3 linked regions of the Neurospora crassa OR74A genome follow. The protein of the gene in region 3 purifies or fractionates together with the protein of the main gene of each other region. This does not show direct contact. Links are inferred from orthologs where the notes say so. Each region holds a gene or a part of one and is shown on either strand. Other genes may lie near its edges.

What was found.
Region 1: the proteins of NCU08952 (region 3) and NCU04640 purify together in Saccharomyces cerevisiae (affinity purification with mass spectrometry; 5 studies listed by BioGRID, with this or other methods). This does not show direct contact. The link is inferred for Neurospora crassa OR74A from reciprocal best matches to the Saccharomyces cerevisiae genes GCD7 and SUI3.
Region 2: the proteins of NCU08952 (region 3) and NCU08277 purify together in Saccharomyces cerevisiae (affinity purification with mass spectrometry; 5 studies listed by BioGRID, with this or other methods). This does not show direct contact. The link is inferred for Neurospora crassa OR74A from reciprocal best matches to the Saccharomyces cerevisiae genes GCD7 and SUI2.

The regions. Positions count from the first base shown.
Region 1 is NC_026505.1:1,363,518-1,368,342, forward strand, and holds NCU04640 (eukaryotic translation initiation factor 2 beta subunit), read right to left. Parts: upstream 3,241-4,825; 5' UTR 2,875-3,240; coding exon 2,863-2,874; exon of another isoform or gene 2,390-2,862; coding exon 2,248-2,389; intron 2,197-2,247; coding exon 1,546-2,196; intron 1,436-1,545; coding exon 1,369-1,435; intron 1,314-1,368; coding exon 1,214-1,313; 3' UTR 567-1,213; downstream 1-566. Other genes in the region: NCU04641 (FAD dependent oxidoreductase), read right to left, coding at 1-103; NCU16952 (hypothetical protein), read left to right, coding at 3,966-4,206, 4,307-4,416. UniProt on the Saccharomyces cerevisiae protein: Component of the eIF2 complex that functions in the early steps of protein synthesis by forming a ternary complex with GTP and initiator tRNA.
Region 2 is NC_026504.1:2,569,410-2,573,915, reverse strand, and holds NCU08277 (eukaryotic translation initiation factor 2 alpha subunit), read left to right. Parts: upstream 1-1,848; 5' UTR 1,849-2,285; coding exon 2,286-2,363; intron 2,364-2,432; coding exon 2,433-2,803; intron 2,804-2,882; coding exon 2,883-3,119; intron 3,120-3,185; coding exon 3,186-3,432; 3' UTR 3,433-3,823; downstream 3,824-4,506. Other genes in the region: NCU08276 (hypothetical protein), read right to left, coding at 1-642, 715-1,037; NCU16791 (mitochondrial inner membrane protease subunit 2), read left to right, coding at 3,982-4,238, 4,324-4,506. UniProt on the Saccharomyces cerevisiae protein: eIF-2 functions in the early steps of protein synthesis by forming a ternary complex with GTP and initiator tRNA. This complex binds to a 40S ribosomal subunit, followed by mRNA binding to form a 43S pre-initiation complex.
Region 3 is NC_026505.1:5,799,373-5,804,184, reverse strand, and holds NCU08952 (translation regulator GCD7), read right to left. Parts: upstream 3,211-4,812; 5' UTR 2,876-3,210; coding exon 2,778-2,875; intron 2,721-2,777; coding exon 1,668-2,720; intron 1,609-1,667; coding exon 1,521-1,608; 3' UTR 861-1,520; downstream 1-860. Other genes in the region: NCU08953 (hypothetical protein), read right to left, coding at 1-429; NCU08951 (ribosome biogenesis protein Nhp2), read left to right, coding at 3,744-4,029, 4,137-4,579. UniProt on the Saccharomyces cerevisiae protein: Acts as a component of the translation initiation factor 2B (eIF2B) complex, which catalyzes the exchange of GDP for GTP on the eukaryotic initiation factor 2 (eIF2) complex gamma subunit.

The sequences.
Region 1 (4,825 bases), about 4.4 Mb from region 3:
TTGGTTGCAGCCAGTAGGAGGCGCTGGGATTGGCGGAGGGGAGTCCGGCCTGGCCTGAAGAGGAGGGACCAGGGTTGATGTTGCTGCTGCTGGTTGTGTTCATGTTCGTTTCCTGTTGGGTCGGTTGGGCGGCTCGGCCGAGGTCGCTGTGGTGGTGAGAAGAAGGGTGGGGGATGTGCTGGTCGACTCCTCTGGGGCCGGTTTAGCGGATGGTCATTTTGGCTTGTACCTGGTGGTTGTGATGATGAAGGGGAAGACTTGAGTGATGAGTGGAATCGAGCAGGTAAAGTAGTGATGAGTCACGTTACGCGTTGACTTGGAAAGTGTTGACTAATCTATCGAACAGACAGACGAGGTTGAACCGTTGAGTTGTTGCCTGCGGCCCATCGTCTTATATGGGTTTGTTGATGCAAAATGTGGAGGGGAAAGATTCTCCCGAAGCTAACTATCATGCATGTGCTCGGCATATCATGGATCGATCGCCAAAACATCGGAACGTAGTGTATACGCAATGTATACGCGTCAAGGTGAGATTTCGAACCTAAGCGGCCGCTTTTTCTCACCAATCGCGGAGTATCAAGGTTTATCATTTTACTCAACTGCCACTTTGAGTTTCGATAACATAATGTAGTTTATAAAGGTAGACTGAATGGCTATACATACTGCAAAGAACAGAGAATAATTCCTGTTCGCAAGATCTCAAAATCCATCGCTTCGTAATCCTGCGCTCAGTCAGCCTCTTCCTTGCTCTCCCAGTCTAGCTTGCTGACCATGGTCATGAATGACCTGAGAACCTCTGAATCCCACATCAGTCTAGATACAACCTCGCAGCCCTCATCCATATAAATCAGACAAGCTCAGGAAAAGAAGAAAGCCCTCCTCTTTATCAGACTCCCTATGCAAAGTAAGGATAAGTGTGCCACCATCATCAAAAACCAGAACTTTTTGTGTACCAATTCTTCATCAAGTATCGTCATATTAACCCGTACCCTACCGCGTAAGGAATTCACCTGATTTTGTAGCACAGACTCTCTCTTCCATCCTCTCTCTCGTGTACTGGAGATGAGAGATTGCCGTTCAGAGGGGCCGTGCTACTTCGTAAAAGACCCGTGCCCAACCAGCCATATACAATGCCGTCTTAACTCCGTCCTTGAAGCGTGAAAACATTGAAAAGCAAACTGCAAGGGCCTCGAAACAAGAAAACAAAAACCGCTTAACCCTGCATCTTCTTTCTCTTGCCGACCTGGGCAGAGAAACCGGTCTTAATGGCCTGGACAGACCGCCTAGAACCGCAAGAGTTGCAGGTAATGAAACTGTGACATGTCAGCATTTTGGGGCTATGGTCGTCGTAAACAGAGGCCAACTTACTAAAGACGGTTCTCGCCCTTGGAGAGCTCGGTGTTGGGGGAACGGCACGTCTTGCAGGTAACGTACTCTGTTGAGCATGTTAGCATTTGTAGTCAGAGCAAAACGTTGGGTGCTGGTGGTGACATTGTCTACTTGGGCGCAAAACGTCCAAACGACGACAGGATCAAATAGACATACCGATAATGTAGGTACGCAGAACGTTCTCGATCTGCTTCTGCTGGAAACGACCCTTGATGACCAGACGCCTGCTGCCGTCGACGGAACCGCTGGTACCCAATTCGGCGAAAAGGTAAGAAGTAACGTGCTCGTCGGCTCTCTTCATGCGCTTGCAAATCTCGGGCAGGTTGGCGAAGATGGTCTTCTTGTTGCCTTCACGGAGACACTGCGGGGGCGGGATCTTGTACGACCGTGTACCGGTAGAGGCGTGGTCGGGGTTCTTTTGCGAGAGAAGGGCGAAGAAACGGGACAGAAGAGCGTTGTAGCTGATGGGCTTGGTCTCGTCGTGGGCCCAAATGCCGGTGCCCTGGTCCATATCGCCCTCCTGCTCGTCCTCCTGGGGGGCGGCCTCCTCGCCCTCCTTGCCCTCAATGTTGAGAGCCTCCAGCTTCTTGGCGAACTCATCATCCTCCTTGACGACCTTCTTCTTCTTCTTTTTCTTCATGGTGAGGTCGATAGCACCGTCACCCTCGGCAGGGGCGGCCTCATCAGCAGCGGCGTCGGCATCGTCCTCCTTCTTGACCTTCTTCTTCTTCTTCTTCATGAGCGAAAGGTCGAGGCCATCATCGGCGGCGGGGGCGGCAGCAGCAGCAGCATCCTGGGGCTCGGTGGCTTGGGGGGCATCAGTAAAGGCCCCGAGAGCGGCGTGGAGGGGCGGCGTACGAGCAGAGTGGGACTGGGCAGTCTCCTTGATTTCGTCGGCGGGAGAGGCGTCCATGGTGACAGAACCGTCGGGGTTGACAACTAGCTTCTCGTCGGTAAAGGTGACAGACTTGCGCGAGGGGCGTCTTTTGATAGAGGGCGCCTAAAGGGTTAGTATATCGGAGTGGATAAGGCGCTTGTCGTGGGAGTCGCGATAGCGGTCAAGGATTTCGCCGTCGAGTGTGGATAGGAAAGCTCGGAATTTTTTGGGATGATTGGCGGCGTTTTCGCGCTGCAGAGTGCCAGAACTTTATGGTGGATTTTGGGCTGGGGGTGGAGGGAGAGGGTTGGCGCCTTGGAGGGGCAGTACACGTCAGGGGACTTGAGGGCTGGGGCCGGGGATAGGTATAATTGCACTGCGTAGGTAGCAAAGTACAGTGAGGGGTGTGCAGTGTGGTGAATGGGACTTTTTATTTCCTTAGTATTTTTGACTAGGCGAGAAGCGTGGCTCCCCCCAGGGCTCGAGGTGTCTGCCTCTAGCGTGGTGGTAGGGTCGGGGAGGACGGAGGGTGTGTTGTGTGGGCGTAGAGGTAGTGAGTGTGTACTGAAGCAAGGAGATCCATCCCAGGTACTTACTTCAGAATCCATGCTGGGCCACTGGTGTGTTTGAGAGTGTGGTGGTGTCTGTCTGTCTGTCTGTAGGTGTGTGATTGTCCGTCTTTTTCTTTGTAATCGATGTCTCTTCCGGTGGACTCTTTGTTGGTCGCAGAGAGTGGATTTTGTCGATGGATGAGATTAGGTAGACTTTGGGGTCGGGAGAGGTATCGATGCAGGCAGACTGATCTCAGCTTTCTTTCAGTTTCGGACCTGGAATTGTTCTTTGCGGGGACCTAGGTAGTTGGATGCCGCTTGGGTCCTGGTCTGGTTACCTACTACTACTGTCGTTTAGTTCTGTCGTTGGGCTGGAGACTGAGCGGAGTTCTTTCTGTACACACGGCTCTGGATGGGGCACCGGCACCACGCCTCAGCTGTGTTCACCTCATGACGTTGATTGAAGCGAAACTGTGAGTCAGTCTTCTCAATCACCTGACAAGTGGGGTGGGAAGAGCTCAGACAGCTGCCCGCCACTTGCAACTACAAATCGCCTCCGCTTCTCCATTTTCCAGGCCATGCAGCCCTCCTCCCTGCAGCACGGTGCCTTCAACCCGCTCGAGCCACGGCCGCACAGTCCGACACGGTTGGGTTGGCACTGGCACTTGCAGTCCGGTGCAGTGCTTGGCGGCAGCGATAGGTGAGTGGTGTCCATTCCAGCATCGCATAGCTGCACTGCTGCAGCAGTTGGTGCCGTGGCCCGTCATCGGTCACCGACAACAACCAGCTCCATCACGAACCTTGGAAGGCGCGCCGAGTCCGTAGAGGTATCCATCTCCGTGTATCGCTGTGTTCGTAACCGACAACGAATCTCCCAGCAGCAATCAAGTTCGTCCCACGCGATTTCTACAATATCCTACACGTCAGGCGTTACGCCGATTCGTACAGTGTCTCCATCCCGAACTATCGCAATTTGCCCGAGCTACGATAGCTACTTACAGTACCATCTTCACCGCGACAACCGACCGTGCGCCGGCGCCGACCACTTGCTCGCCTCATCCAAACCACACTGACGATAGCTACCTACTCCCGGCCAGAGACGCGATACCCTCAGACAGACAAATTGCGCATTCGGGACATCCAAAACCATGTCCACCCCCTCCGATTCCTACGTCCTCCACGACCACTCCCCGTCAACCGACAACGACGATGTCGACTCCCTCCCGTCCATCTCCAGCAGTATCCTAGGCTCGGACGACTCCGAGTACGACGACGAATCAGACGCACAAAAGGAATGGGAACAGAGTCTCGAGCAGCTGCAGCTTCTCTTGAACTTGGTGCTAATACCGTTCGCGGGCAAGTTTTTGGGGCGCAAGTTTGCTTATTGGAGTAAGACAAACCAAAACCAGATCTTGGGAAAGACAGCTTGCGCTGTGGGAGGAGACAATAACGACGATGCGGAAAGTCAGTTGCTAACATGGCCCGGCAGGTTGGGGACGGTACATGGAGTGGGCGCACGGGGTCAAGGTCCAATGGTATAACAAGACGCTATTCAACATTGCCGGTTGGATAGGAGCTGCTACGCCAGTATCAGTATGAGGGAGGCAGACAGGCGACCGTGGTGATGAGGTACTCGAGTCAAAGGCGACGGCAGCACAATTCTCGATACCCTATTTTTTCGGTATAATCTGGGATACCAGGGGTGGACACAGTGCTCTTTTGGCGTTACGGTATGGGAACACTAGCATAAAGGGGTATGTTTCGTTCTTGCACAGTTTGCGTTGCATTGGTGGTGAAGAATTACAGACATGTGTAGAATGCATGTGGACTGTCGTTATACTTGTGGAAGCAAGCGTTGAAGCTCTGCAGATACATCTGATCATCAGACAATGCCAATTATACCCATTACTATTGCTGACTTTAGGTTCGACTGATACTATTATAACATGCAGGTTCTGATCTTCCTTTCCTCGTTCGCCATATTAACCCAAGCCATCACTACGTAATT
Region 2 (4,506 bases), on a different chromosome or scaffold from region 3:
AATGGGGTACCTGGGATGGACGGGAGGGTATCGTTCGACTGCTGGAAGTTGGCGTTCATAGGATAACCAGGCATAGCGGTGCCAGGAGCGGAAGGCGTTGGGTCGGGGCTGTCGTCGTCGTCGGTGTCATGCATTTGGATATCTTCAGTGAAGAGTGACATGATAGAGAACAGTGATGACATGGGGGCACCGTTCCGCACTTCGGTCAGAAGCTGGTAGCGCTGGCGACCCGGAGCAAAGCCTTCCTCATCGTCGCTCTCGAACGAAGGGCCACTGCTTGAGCGTCGACCATCTCTGGCGGATTTAACAAAGATCTCCACCATACCGTCGACCACAAGACAGAATCCTTGCTCTTCTTCGAGGTTGAGGGTTTCGCCAGCGATCAGCTTCCTCGTTTGCATGCTGCGGGTCAGTTCATGGAAAACCGGCCTTTCCAGATAACCAAAGATTTTGATGGCGCTGAGAAACTCGTCAAAGTAGCTAGCTAGCCCAGACTTTACTCCTTCCTCCTGTGTTTCGGGGAACAGATCAACAGCTGGCTCTTTGCGCTGGGGCTCAGGAGGAAGCCGTGAGTACATGTTTAAGTAGCGATATCTGACTACCCAGGTCACTCCTGCCATCATGAACAACATAATAAGCACACTAAGCATACCGACGGTTAGATCCACCAGCCTTGAGTCCATGTATACAAAATGCGGCTGGCGGATGACTTACAGCGTAGTGGCGTTCATGGTCACCGTCAGACTAGTCGAAAAGATGTTGAACAGAAAGGTGGGTGTAGTGATGGTGGTCAGCTTGATGACAAAGTATAGCACACTCGAGATGCGGTGCAACAGCCAGAGGATGATGGTGAACCATGAAGTCGGGGTGTGTTCGGGAACCACATCGCTAGTAGCTTTCGAGACCGCATCGCTGGCGAGAGCGACGACAGACGAGAGGGCTTCTGTAGGATCGGCGAGGATTGCCGTCGCAGTCGTGGACGTTGTCTCGGAAAGCACCGAGCTCATGGCGTTGCCGAGGTTGCTAAGAGACTCCATTTTCAGAAGCCTGAAGCACCAAGCAAGCAAGCCAAGAGTTACCGGGCGAGCCCGTCGTGTAGATCGGTTCTGACAGAAAGAAGAGAGTGTGTATGTATGTTTTTGTTTTTGTGTTTCCTTTTTTTTATAGGGTTGTAGGTATCGCGGTAGTGTCGCGCCGTCGTCGTGGGGATGGTCGTGAAGAATAGTTGGTGTTCGATCGATCAGCGTGTCTGAACCCCAAAAGTACCGTCGCAACCTGATCAAGACCTATGAGCTGTCCCCTCCCCGATGTGCCTGTGGTTGAAACCCAACTCTTACTACCTGGTCTGCGGTGTCGTCGCTCTGTTCTTTTTCATATCGGTCCAAGTGTTGTCACCCAAGACGGAGACCGTCGAGAAAAGCGAAACGGGTGAGCTCCTCCAAAAGTAACGACATGTGCGGAGGGTTTAGATGAGCCCAGTGTCGTCGGGTGTTGGTCGGCCCTCGGGATTCGTTTGGGTGCCGTGCAAAAGTCGAATCTCCAAGTCGCCGTTGGTGGACAAGCAAGGTTCAGTGATTGAAGCTCCCTAGCTCGACGATGTCCAAGGAAGATTCCAGGCTTATCAGTGACTAACCCCACTGTCGGTTCACGATTGACGTCGTTGTTCCTGCCCACTGAGCTGGCGCTTGGCACAGTGGAGTTCGGGGCAGGTGGAGTAAGTAGAGGTACCTAACCGAGAGCAGGTACCTGCCTTTGCGTACCGTTGTTCCCACCTGGGCTGCTGTGCGCTTCCTTACCTAGGTACCCGACTTACCCCACCTCAAAAAAAAAAGATGGAGCCGCGTCTCACTTGCCGTCACGGTCAGAACGTGAAATTCACCCCTCAATCCGGCGCACCAGCCACAGCCTACTTCGTTCCCTCCCAAAGTGCCCACGCCACTTTTGCAGCCTGTCTGCACGTAATTTTTGGTTGGTACCCGAAAAATACTGCGACGCATCTGGCTAACTTTGAGTGAGTCCTTTGAGCCTCGCTGGACCCTCCGAGAACCCGCTGCCGCAACCAGAACTCGAACTTCCAGAGGACCTTTCCCAGCTGTGGCCACTTGCAGCGAAACTCGGTCAATTTTCTTTCTCGGCCATCAACCCCTCCAGACCATCCACTCGAATTCCATCTCGCCCATTGTCGCGAAGCTCGTCGCCGACATTACCCTCCCCCTTTCAACACCACTAACACCACCACTTATTTCACCGTTTGCCCCGCCCGGGAAAAGGCACCAGTCGCCAACATGTCGCTCTCAAACTGCCGTTTCTATGAGGAGAAGTATCCTGAAATCGACTCGTTCGTTATGGTCAATGTTAAGCAAGTACGATACACTGGGGTCCCGGTGGTGCGCATGCGCATGTGGATGCGTCAGAGCTGACCCCCAGATTAGATTGCCGATATGGGCGCCTACGTCAAGCTTCTCGAGTACGACAACATCGACGGCATGATCCTGCTCTCTGAGCTTTCCAGAAGACGTATTCGTTCCATCCAGAAGTTGATCCGTGTCGGTCGCAACGAGGTCGTCGTCGTTCTCCGTGTCGACAAGGAGAAGGGTTATATCGATTTGTCCAAGCGTCGTGTGTCCCCCGAGGATATCGTTCGTTGCGAGGAGCGTTACAACAAGAGCAAGATCGTCCACTCGATTATGCGCCACGTTGCCGAGAAGACTCTTGTTCCCATCGAGCAGCTTTACGAGACAATAGGATGGCCCCTCAACAAGAAATACGGCCACTCGCTTGATGCCTTCAAGCTTTCGATCACGTACGTCATTCCGGGAAATAGGCGTACAGCTGTGGGACAAAATGGCGGTATTGGACAAGATGCTGACATGGATGTGAAGCAACCCCGACGTCTGGAATGACATCCAGTTCCCCACCGAGGCCGTTGCCGAGGAGCTCAAGACCTACATCAGCAAGCGTTTGACTCCCCAGCCTACCAAGGTCCGTGCCGATGTTGAGGTCACTTGCTTCGGCTACGAGGGTATCGATGCTATCAAGACCGCTCTCCGCACTGCGGAGGCTCGCAACACTGAGGAAACCCAGGTCAAGTGCAGACTTGTGTCCCCTCCCCTTTATGTGTAAGTCTTTGCCAGAAATAGTCTTGCAATGTTGAAGACAGAGTGGAAGCTAATAACTATACACAGCCTTACCAACACCTGCTTGGACAAGAATGCCGGTATTGCCCGCCTTCAGGAGGCCATTCAAGACATGCGGACCAGCATCGAGGCTGCTGGTGGCCACCTTGTGGTGAAGATGGAGCCCAAGGCTGTCACTGAGTCCGATGATGCTGAGCTCCAAGCTCTTATGGAGAAGCGTGAGCGTGAGAACGCTGAGGTCAGCGGCGACGAGAGTGTCAGCGAGTCCGACGACAATATCCCCGAGACCGTCTAAAGCGCCTCTTCATTTTGCAGCCATTCTTAAACGGAGCTATCTTTGCAGGCTCATTGGGATACTCGACACTATTTTGAGGAAAGGTTTAGGGATGCATGTATACAGTTTTTGCGACACAGGGCTGGCGTCTAGGGGATACAAAAGTCCTTCAGGCGGTAGAGGAATCAACCAAAAGATTGCATCAAGCGTATGCCTAATGAATGTGAGCGAGGGACGAGGATTGATGAACACAAGACTTGATATGGATACATAGTCATTTTATGGATGCACTTGCTGTAACTAGGTAGATCTAGGCGTTCAAGGATATGCAGCTACCGGGGCTGATAAGCGATCTCATCGTTTTCTTATCGCCGCCTGCCCGGGCATGTGGCTGCAATTATTGTCTTCTCCATGTTAACACACAAGCTCCGTACTGCTCACTGCCCTGCTCACTGAGCACGTTGAGGCGAACATACGCCCTCTATTTCACAGCAGCATTGCGATTCACAGCAAAGAGTTGCATCGCATTGACATCTTCGGTAGCTCGATAACTCGCTTGGTCGGATAGCGATGGCGGCGCGATGGGGAGCAGGAATTCGGAACGGATTCCTCGGTCAGTTCTCACACTACCTCATTCGCTACGCAACATGGATCCCTCCATTGGTGGTCTTCAACGGCTGGGTTGCCGAGATCACACAAATCAAGGGGCCGTCCATGTATCCTTTCTTCAACCCGCACTACAATGAGTCAACACGTCGGGACATCGTACTGGTCTCTAAGTGGTACCCGGACCGGAACCTCAAGCGCGGCATGATTGTGACCTTTAGGTGAGATCCAAAATCTCATCCTACAGCATCTGGCGTGCCGCATTCGGGGCATTGGTTGGGAACCTGACGACTAACTGTAACCCAGAAACCCACTGAACCCAAAGGGAAAGGTCGTAAAAAGAGTGGTCGGAATAGCAGGCGACGTGATCCGTACCAAGGCGCCTTACCCGCATGAATACGTCCAGGTACCAGAAGGGCACATCTGGGTAGAGGGAGACGGCGACAAGACCAAGGACAGCAACTACTACGGCCCGATATCAGCGTGCTT
Region 3 (4,812 bases):
CTTTTCATCGTCCTCCTCTTCTTCTTCCTCGAGTCCTTCTTCTTCTTCTTCTTCCTCTCTCTCTTCAACAATCCCAAAGTAATCCATAACAAACTTCCTAAAATCGTCGAGATCTCTTCTCTTCTTCCATTTATTCAAAAGGCGCCGGTTCTTGATGTCCTCCTCCATACCCATATAAACATCATCAGGTACCCTCGCGGGGTCAAGGAGGGGTGAGTTGCCTTCTTCGCGCATCTTTTTGTAGTAGCAGATTATCTCCTCCGCTTCGTCGGGCCAGTCTGTGGGTGCACTTCTCGGAGAGCCGAGAGGAGGATATGCGGCGGCAGCGGTGGCAGGTTGTTCTTGCGGGGGGCTAGTGAAAGAAGTCGTGGGGGTGTCGGTGGAAAGGGAGAGGACTTGAAATAAAAACGAGGAGCGTGCGTGTGACATTTTGGTGGTAGTTGACTTTGACTGGTTGGATTATCGCGATCCGGCCGAGCGAGCGTATGATTTGAGGTTGGAGCGGATTCCCCGAGGAGGTAACGGGTTGAGCTATGTGGACGATGGTCGTGGGTTTTTGGACCGTCGGTGTACGGATCGTAGGTAGGTATGTAGGTCGTAGATGGATAGACTATGGGATCATGATCGGAGGTAATGACCCGTGGGGATTTGCACTGTAGGAGTCTTGAACAGTGGTTGTGTGTAGTGTAGGTATATAGACCGTACGTGTGTAGGCCGTTCGAGCGTAGACCGTGAGGATGTAGCCCCAAACAGTCACGTGGATGGTATGAAAAAGGAGCTGGAGAAGACGGAGAATGACTCCCGCTCGAAGAAAGGGACGCGATAGACAAGTATCGGTGTCTGAAGGATCGTGAAGTAAGGACAAGCCGTTGATGTATTGATTTACGTGGATAAATGACCTAAGGAGCGAGGAACCGAGTACGTAGACGGATGACGAGAAAAAGAGAGGGAATTAATTCGAGTGGAAAGAGAATGGATGGGCAAGTTTAAGTATCTGTCAGACTCCCTGTGCAGGGAGATGTATTTTCCAGGGAAATATATTTCGGCGCGCAGATGAAGTCCGACATAACAGCATCCGATGTCCGCAGCGGAGGCCCCGATTCCTGCTTATATACGATATCCTTACGTGATGCTGTACTGCACTCATCTAGATCCTTAAGTTCGATGGCGGCCCAGCAAGAAAAAGCGACACATCTTGTCCCTTCACCCCATCTAACCATGCCCGTCGAAGCCTCTGCCAGCGTCCAAAGCTACTGAGTCCGGTGAATCCGCAAAACCTCGCCATCGGGACTACCGAAATATGCACGATGATAAGGAACAAACAAGTTTATGGGTACAGATATGACTCTTCAGTTGACATATATGCAACGCACGATGTTGTATTTTCGGAACGCATATTGGTCGGCCAGGTTGAACCAGGAACAGTCGAGAGGTATTTGAACGAGTATTGCATTGGACCGGCAGCATGATACATTATTAACCGCGTCTTTTTATTTTCTTCATTTTTTTCTCTTCGGCTTCTAAGGCAGATGCAAAGACAAGCCCATATCTTCGAGCTTGTAATGGTCGGCCATGATGGTGGCAAGATGATCTCGTGTTTGGGGGCCACTGTAAAGTTGTTAGTGTTGGGGTTCTTCAGTCATCAAAATTATGGGTTCAGGGCTTACAGGTTTGTTAGGTATACATCGACGTATTGGGGTGGCAGGTACTCGCCCACGATGTTCTCTACCTCGAGGGCATCGACGGCCTCACCGTCGGCATAGTCGACATACGTCGAAGAATCTCCCTGCTCGAACTCGGTCCCATCGTCCGACGGATCTACGGGGCAGAACTTGTAAACACCGCTTAGAACGATAACGGGCTTGGAGTACTCCTGCGCTGCCCTAGCAGCAGTACTGCACCCACTCTCTGTGGAAATACCGCCGTTCGCATATACGGCCTTGGCGCTGATAACGACCTTGTTCACCCTAGGCATATAGGCCATCAAGCCGTTGCTAGCCAGGCTGATGGCGTTGACCCCGAGACCGTTGAGCTTCTTCCGTAGGGCAGCATGGGGCACCTCGCCGGGTTTTTGACGCTCAGCGCTGGCGATGAACACGGTAAACCTCCTCTTTGCTGCGGCTTTGAGGAGGAATCTCTCGACTGTTGGGGAGGGGAGGTAGGCGAGCACGTAATCGCCGGGGTGAATCTGGATGTCCGCGAAACCCGCAATCTGGTCGTCCGCCTGGCTGATCTCGTCCATAATCTCTTCGATGCCATCGATAACTTCGGACCGTAGGGCATGCATGTTGGCAGATGCGCCCTGGGACATGGGGGTAGATGCGCCGGTAACTGGTGACTGTGCGGTCTCTGAGACGCAGAGAAGGTTGAACATGGACTTGGACATGGGGAGAGTCGCGGCGCGGAGGGGCGTGGGGCCTGGCCTTGTGGAAATGGTGGGCGTTGTGGGCAGCTGGGAGAGGTCGGATACTGAGTCGCCCATCTCGTCGGCATTTCTGTCCTCGGAAGCCTCATCACGAATAAGACCCATTACTCGGCGGACAACGTTGCCGATGACTTGCTCAGTGGGAGCAGCTTGGGCAAGTCTGTGGCCGGTGTTGGAGACCTTTGCGAGCAGCTGATCGACGTTCTGCCACTTAGACTTGGCGACGACCTGGAGCAGCATATGGGCTGTGGCATTGGCGACATCATCGCCCTTGACTTGGCGACGTTTTAGGAGGCTGCCCAACCATGTTAGGATCTGATATAAGATAGATATGAAGCAGGCGTAGGCGTACTAAATAAGAGCCTCGATAGAAGCCTCCAAGGGCTGAGTGTTGAGAGACTTGAGGAGCTTGCCCAACGTGGGGGCATAGCTCATTTGCGACGACGCCATGGCGATGAGCTGTGTATAGTACTCTGTGTGCTACTGAGGTATTGTGGAGGTGATGTCGAAGTGAGAGTGCGACTGTTCCCTGCTCGAGGCTGTATGGTCTTTACGAATGGTACTGGACGGATATCTATGAAATCGATATAGGCGGGGGGGAATGACAAGGCTGCTGGTCGCAAAAAGGTTCTCCAACAATAGCTTCCAGAACTGGGCCAATGTCGCTTGGGATTGTGGACTTTTTGCCAGTGAATTGTCGAGGTGAGTCAATGGCTCACACTGAATGCGCTTGGAGGTAGGTATCACAAGCTCTAGAAATTTAGTGGGGCAGGCAAGCAACCGGCCTTCAAGGACAAAGCACTGCCGCTGTTTGCCAGTTTGCGGCAGGCTAGAAGCAGGCCTTGTTTAAGTTCAAGACTACTACTAATCCCTGTCGTACTGAATGGAAAGCCCCACCAAGCAAAAGGTGGAAGTTTAAGACATTTCCTCTTATCGCGTGCTTATCGGAAAATTGGTCCCTCTTATCGCACCCAATTCCAGGCGCTCACCTGCATTATCGGCCCCCGGGCGGAACGGCTTTACAATTGGCCTACAAATTTTTGGTCGCGTCGCTCTGCTTTGATTGACTGGGTCACTTGATGGACCCAGTAAAATCTGCGTTGAAGAATCCATTTCTGCGATCAACCGCCCCATCACGATACCAAATACCTTGACGCCCCAACCCAGTAACTTTTTTTTCTCTTTACTGCAGTGGTTGTCTGTATAACCATTCTTTAATTCCTGTTTGATACCCCATCCCCCTCCACCACCAACTTTATCTACACACACCCAACCACCACCACCAACAACAACACACACACACATTTAATCCGACAAGATGGGTGCCACCGACAAGATCAAGGAGAAGAAGGACAAGTCCGAGAAGAAGGACAAGAAGGAGAAGAAGATGAGCGAGGAGGCCGGTGTCAAGAAGGAGAAGAAGGACAAGAAGGAGAAGAAGGAGAAGACCGAGAAGCTCGCCAAGGCCGTCGAGGCTCACCTCGAGAAGGAGGGTTCCGTCGACCCTGAGGATGTCGTCAAGACCGCCGAGGACCTCGTCCCCTTTGCCCTTCCCCTCGCCGACGACAAGACCCACAAGAAGATTTACAAGTTGATCAAGAAGGGTACGTTTTGTGACTACTCTCCAATTGCATTGCCAGGCTCCTCAATCGCAGCCCACGCACGACTTGTACTGAACCCAAGCTAACTTTTGATTAAAAAAAACAAACAGGCGCCAAGCTCAAGTCCATCCACCGCGGCGTAAAAGAGTGCGAGAAGGCCATCAAGAAGTGCCCCCTCCGGACCGCCGCCTCCCCTCCCGCCGACGCTCCCGGCCTCGTCATCATCGCCGGCGACATCTCGCCCATGGACGTGATCATGCACTTCCCCATTCTGTGCGAGGAGCACGGCGTTCCCTACCTGTACATTCGCTCGCGCGCCGACCTCGGCGTTGCCGCCTGCACCAAGCGCGCCACCTCGGTGGTGATGCTCAAGCCCGAGGGCAAGAAGTCCTCTGGCAAGGAGGAGGGCGACAAGGTCGACCCTGCCGAGTACCTCGAGGCCTACAAGGAGCTGGTCAAGACGGCGCAAAAACAGTGGAACGTCCAGGTCGAGCCCTGGGTCAAGGGTACTCACCCGCTCCAGATCGAGGCCAAGGTCAAGGGCACTGCCTAAATTGGCGGGAGCAATGACTCGAGCGAAACAAAACACACAAAAGATGAAAGGCTGCAACGACATGATGGCGACAGCGGGAGCACATGAGACCATGACACTATTGCAGGTGCCGGTGTGATTGTGCGTCTGCTTGTTGCAAGAGTGTTCGTGTGCGTACGTGCTTTTTGCTCAGACAATCGGACCGTCTTACCGTTGAGAGAGAAGAAAACAGGCGACCGATCATCTTGGAGATT